Linked DNA regions of Kluyveromyces lactis. The protein of the gene in region 1 purifies or fractionates together with the protein of each later gene. This does not show direct contact. Links are inferred from orthologs where the notes say so. Each region holds a gene or a part of one and is shown in the gene's direction. Other genes may lie near its edges.

The links. Proteins that work in one complex are often made in the same cells at the same time.
Region 2: the proteins of SEC23 (region 1) and BET1 purify together in Saccharomyces cerevisiae (affinity purification with western blotting; 4 studies listed by BioGRID, with this or other methods). This does not show direct contact. The link is inferred for Kluyveromyces lactis from reciprocal best matches to the Saccharomyces cerevisiae genes SEC23 and BET1.

The regions. Positions count from the first base shown.
Region 1 is NC_006041.1:432,716-436,481, reverse strand, and holds SEC23 (GTPase-activating protein SEC23), read left to right. Parts: upstream 1-901; coding exon 902-3,184; downstream 3,185-3,766. Other genes in the region: GPI-anchor transamidase subunit GAB1, read right to left, coding at 1-261; E1 ubiquitin-activating protein AOS1, read right to left, coding at 3,342-3,766. UniProt on the Saccharomyces cerevisiae protein: Component of the coat protein complex II (COPII) which promotes the formation of transport vesicles from the endoplasmic reticulum (ER).
Region 2 is NC_006040.1:1,198,747-1,201,352, forward strand, and holds BET1 (Bet1p), read left to right. Parts: upstream 1-1,582; coding exon 1,583-2,026; downstream 2,027-2,606. Other genes in the region: VAB2 (Vab2p), read left to right, coding at 1-300; iron-sulfur cluster assembly protein CFD1, read right to left, coding at 325-1,176; protein disulfide isomerase EPS1, read right to left, coding at 2,224-2,606. UniProt on the Saccharomyces cerevisiae protein: SNARE required for targeting and fusion of ER-derived transport vesicles with the Golgi complex.

The DNA.
Region 1 (3,766 bases):
AACGGGCATTAGAAACTCCGCTTGTTGAACGAATGCCATTAAAGCTACCAGCAGAGGCACATGATGCACAACACCACCATCATAAATGGGCAAATTATGCAGTAAAAGATACGCACCTTCTTGCAGAGATCTATAGCTTGTAACCGGAGTAGAAAACTCAACGGTTCTGTCCAATTGCTGCTGCAAAGAAGGGAACAGGTACGAAACAGCCAATCTGGACGCAAAACAAGCCCATACAACCTGCCATTCGGACGAAACCATAATCACCTCAAGCGACACAACAAGTCAACACAGTAGGGTCACTTCGTATCCTCTCAGAATCGTATCACCGTTCAATGCAAAAAAACAAACCAATCGTGAACCGAGCTTCGTAATTGCAGTACAAATTATGCATATTTGAAAGCTTATTGTATTGAAATGAAGTACATCAGTTAAATCAATGGTAATACAAAAAGTGATCCACACAAACATTACCCGGACACGTGAACAGTTTACTCTAATACGTGTTTACATATCACGTGATTAAGATACTCGCTTCTAAAACAGCAGAATTTTGCAACCTGCAGTCGAATGTCAGGTTTAGTCACAACAATACTGTGTTTAACCGATAATCTTACAGCACTGAGGCACAGAGATCTGAGTTCAAGCCTTTCCTTAGTGGGTCATTTTTTGTTTTGCATTATTTGGCATTTTCTGACCTTGAAAGAAATGTTTTGATGAAAAAAATATCTAGCAATACACAGGATTTATCAACACAACAAAAAGAGAACCAGAGTAGCCTGTAAAAGTCCAATTGCTCAGGCTAAGGTGAGTGCTAGGGATTTGATCTGTTTGAACCACATAGAAGATTTATACATTCTTTTCCAACTGCTTATAGATTGGAATCAAGAGATTTAGCACCATGGATTTCGAACAAAACGAAGATATTAACGGTGTTCGTTTCTCATGGAACGTGTTTCCAGCGTCAAGAACTGACGCTAATAAGAATGTGGTTCCAGTTGGATGTTTATACACTCCTTTGAAGGAACGTGAAGATCTTGCTGTTGCTGGCTATAATCCTGTGGTATGTGGTAACATCAACTGTAAATCTGTGTTAAATCCTTACTGTGAGATCGATGTTAGATCCAATACCTGGACTTGTCCTATTTGTAAGACAAGAAACATTCTTCCTCAACATTATGCCAATATGACGCAGGAAACTTTACCACTGGAATTGACTAATACTACAGTTGAATATATCACCAGTGTTCCTGTCCAAGTTCCACCAATTTTCTTCTTTATTGTGGATACTACTGCAGAAGAGGAAAACCTCCAAGCTTTGAAGGAATCAATTATCACTTCATTGTCCTTGCTTCCTGCAAATGCATTAGTTGGTCTAATCACTTACGATAATGTGATTCAACTGCACGACTTATCATCAGCTTCTATTGATAAATGTAATGTGTTCAGAGGTGATCGTGAATACCAATTGGCTCAATTAGTTGAAATGCTAACCGGTGAAAAATTAAATGCTGCACAAGCCGTTAATATCAATGCTCCAACCAAGGTTACACCTTTCTCTTTGAACAGGTTCTTCTTACCATTGGAACAAGTTGAATTCAAGTTGACCCAATTGTTGGAAAACCTGAAGCCTGATCAATGGGATGTGAAATCTGGTTTCAGACCTTTAAGAGCGACTGGTTCTGCTTTGAACATTGCATCGTTGGTGTTGGAAGGTTGTTACAAGAACGTTGCTGCTAGAATAATCTTGTTCTCCTCCGGTCCTGGCACCGTGGGCCCAGGTCTTGTCGTTTCCCCGGAATTAAAAGACCCATTGAGATCTCATCACGATATTGATTCTGATTCTGCAAAACATTACAAGAAGGCCTGTAAATTCTACAACCAATTGGCTCAAAAAGTCGCTGACAATGGTCATACAGTCGATATTTTTGCTGGTTGTTATGATCAAGTTGGTATGTCCGAAATGAAGAGACTAACAGATTCCACTGGTGGTGTCTTGTTATTGACTGATGCGTTCTCCACCGCTATTTTTAAACAGTCATATCTAAGATTCTTTTCTAAGGATGAAGAAGGTTATTTGCAAATGGCATTCAAGGGTACCTTGTCTGTTAAGACAAGTAGCGATCTAAAATTACAAGGTTTAATTGGCCACGCCTCTGCTGTGAAGACTAAGACCGAGGCCTCCAATGTCAGTGATTCTGAGATAGGTATTGGTGGTACTTCTTCTTGGAAGATGTCATCTTTATCGCCACGCCACACTTACGCTGTGTTCTTTGAAATTGTCAACCCGGGTGCATCTGCTGAAGTAATGACAGATAGGCCTAAGTTAGCTTACACCCAATTCATTACATCGTATGAACATTCCTCCGGTACAAACCGTGTCAGGGTCACCACTGTTGCTAACCAAATGTTGTCCTTTGGAAATCCAGCCATTGCATCCTCCTTTGATCAGGAGGCTGCTGCCGTTCTAATGGCAAGAATTGCTGTTGACAAGGCAGAATCTGATGATGGCGCTGATGTCATTAGATGGATTGACAGAACTTTGATTAAATTGTGTCAAAAATACGCTGACTACAATAAGAATGATCCATCATCATTCAGATTATCTCCTCAATTTTCATTGTATCCACAATTCACATATTATTTGAGAAGATCTCAGTTTTTGTCTGTTTTCAATAACTCTCCGGATGAAACTGCATTTTACAGACACATTTTCACTAGAGAAGATACCACTAACTCACTGATTATGATTCAGCCTACTCTAACCTCATTCTCCATGGAAGAAGAACCTCAACCAGTGTTGTTAGATTCTGTTTCAGTGAAACCAAACACAATTTTGTTGTTGGATACCTTCTTTTATATTTTGATTTATCACGGTGAACAGATTGCTCAATGGAGAAAAGCAGGTTACCAAGATGATCCGCAGTATGCAGACTTCAAGTCCTTATTAGAAGAACCAAAGCTTGAAGCAGCAGAATTATTGATTGACAGATTCCCTCTACCAAGATTCATTGATACTGAGGCTGGCGGTTCGCAAGCCAGATTCTTGTTATCCAAGTTGAACCCATCTGACAGTTATCAAAGTGGTGCTGTCGCTGGTTCAACTATCGTGTTGACTGATGATGTTTCTTTACAAAATTTCATGTCCCACTTGCAACAAGTAACTGTTAATGGTCAAACATAATTATTGTCCTGATGGCAGTAGTGTTGAACATACCATGCTTATGCTTTCCAACCAGGTACATATTTGATAAAAATCTCATAAAGCGTTTTATGAGCATATGTTATATAAATTAGTCCTATATAATGATACTGATTGCTAAATTACTAAACCAGGGTCATTAAAGTTCGAATACCCACATATCTAAAGACGTACCATCAAAAACAACGAAGTTATTAAGCGGAGATTGCCTTTTCCCTAGAATATTTATCACGTCTTGTGCAACGGCTCCTCCAATGATTGCTGCCACAGGACTGATTTCTACAGCGGCTTGTTCAACAAATTCTTCAATGGTATCATTGCTGATTTCTCCAATTAATAAACCAAGCTGCTTACGAGTTAAATCATACTTCTTCCTAAAATCATCTAAATTTATGTTTTGAAAAGTTTCATACTGTAATAGTGTAAGAGTTAAGGGAACCTTTGGAGTCATTCTTTTCAATTGCCGTCTAGACAATTGGTTAATAAGTGTAGCAGATTTCAGAAGTTCTTTCAATGGCTTATAAGTATGTTTGGTGGTAATGACCTGATAAACTGCATTATTTT
Region 2 (2,606 bases), on another chromosome or scaffold:
AAGGACAATAGTGGGCAGTCACAGAACGAAGCTAATTCCGAGAGTTTGAACAGCTCTTATTCGAGGCAAAGTACAAATGGAAGCCAAAATAATGCTAAAAAAGATTATCATAGTACCAAAGGAAATTCAGCGGACTCAAACACCACCAAATCGTACCGTCAGTCGATATCCTCGGCGCCATTAGCACTGTCATCAATCCGGAGTACATCAAGGCCATCAATCGCTACAACTCTTGAGCATATATGTATCACAGAACCGTTCACTAGACCTCGAGGCATGAGCAAATCGGCTGACTTATGAAAAGTTTCATGTCAAATTTACCCATTATTGATCTGTTCCACTTTTTACTTCACCGTTCAGTACATTATCTAATATCTTTGAGAAAATGACATACAATCCAGAATCCTTGTAGAGATCAACTAAGCTCTCTTTGAACCCAGTCTGTTTCTCAATCAACTCGACAAACGTCGGATCAATTGGAATATTCCCCAGGTACGGAACGTTATATTCGCTGGCTAATTTGAAACCGCCTCCTCTAGAGAAGATATCTGTACATTCAGCACAATGAGGACATATAAATCCGGACATATTCTCGATGACACCGAGTATATTGAAGTTGACTTTCTTACAGAAATTGATTTCCTTTCTCACGTCTGCCGTAGCGACACCTTGAGGCGTGGTAACAATAATAGCACCATCAGGTGCAGCCCACCTCAACTCTTCTGCGATAGATATATGTTCATCCGAAGTTCCGGGCGGTGTATCGATAATCAAATAGTCCAAATCTCCCCAATCCACATCTTTTATAAATTGTTTAATCATAGCACTTTTCTTAGGACCACGCCATACCACACTATTACCTCTATCATCCAAAAGAAAACCCAAGGACATGAGTTTCAATTCCCCTCCTGATGTCGTAGGAACACTAACGGGTATCCAACCCTTAGAAGCCTGATAAACCTGTTTATTTTCTAAACCAAACATTCTAGGCAACGACGGTCCAGTTAGATCAATGTCTAAAACACCCACTTTGTATCCCTTTAAACATAAAGTTAATGCTGTCTGTGTGGTGACAGATGACTTACCAACACCACCTTTACCAGAAAGGACCAATATAATGTGCTTGATGTCCTTTAAGGACTCAGGCATACCCAATAATTCGGTTTCAGCTGACATCGAGATACAATTGATTATGATCCTGGGACACTAAACGTACCAGCCACTGCAGATATGACTGTATATGCTCACAGTGGACAGAATACTTATAAAAGGGTATACTGCAAATACTTTTCTCAGCCGTTTAAACAGTAGGTTGACTAATACATTTAACTCTTAGCTTAACTAGGATTTCATGATGATAATGATACCTTTGTCAGAGCGAAGGGGAAACCTTCGAGGACAATATCACGTGATTAAACTTCAACAAAAAGTTTTCGTTAAGCGAATCGATTTGGTAGTAGCTTACAGATGGACTAGGAAGTTCCAAGGTGAAACTGCACTTAATTCCCTATGGTTAGATCTGAGTATCTTGACAAATCTACACTTTGTATTTTATTGTTGAGGCACTAGAAATAATTAAGGTATGAGTTCAAACTATAGTGGAATGCAAGGTGATTTGACACAGCGAGATGCGAGTAGGACGCAATTGTTTGCGGGTACTGACTTCTCTAAGTATAAACAACAACAGGATAGACCAAGTTCGCCGTTTGATAGACCATCCCCAGGGGTAGATTATTCTCAAGCAACACTTTCGCAGCTCGAGTCTCAAAGTGATGAACAAATGAATACCATGAGTGAAAAGATCAACGCACTAAAGAATTTATCTCTACGAATGGGAGATGAGATTCGTGGTAGCAATCAGACCTTAGATCAGTTAGGAAACGTTTTTGAACAGACTAGCAACCGTTTGAAAAGGACTTTCAAGAGAATGATGGTGATGGCTCAGAATTCTCGCATTCCATTAAAAATATGGTTCATAATATTTGGTGTTCTGACACTTTTGTTCTTCTACGTCTGGATACGTTGAGAGAGCGAGAGCGAAATAAAAAACCACAAAAGGGTCATGTACTGAAGAGTATCCCATCGAGCATGTATATCTAATTCGTATTGGTTAAACGCATTCCTTCACGCATTATATGTACCATTAAAAAGATATATTAATAAATCGTAACTATCAGTATTAGGTTGAAATATAAGATTATTTATAGGAAGAATTCCTGTTCCTCAATCCATGAGCTTAGCTTCCTTCCCGAGGATACCATGAGTATCCCGTTTTGCAGCGTAACGTCTTTTCAGTTTATAATGATGAATGGTTCTGGGTATTTTCCATAACGCCAAGAATGTCACCACAACAAATAAGTAATTGATTCCGCTAAATTCGCGGAGGTAGTCAATTAATCTGAGCAATCCACTGAGTGGAGTTCTCAAAAAGATGCGTTCAATACGAAGATCAGGGTGTCTTGCGGGGAAATTCAGAATGGAGAGGACTTCGGGCAACGTCTCTAGGGTGATGTATTGTCCAGAAGCATCCTTTTCGTAATAGATGGCTTTTTGCTTGTCCACGACAATGATATCACCAGTCTTGAACTTCCTGAAGTAAACATTTA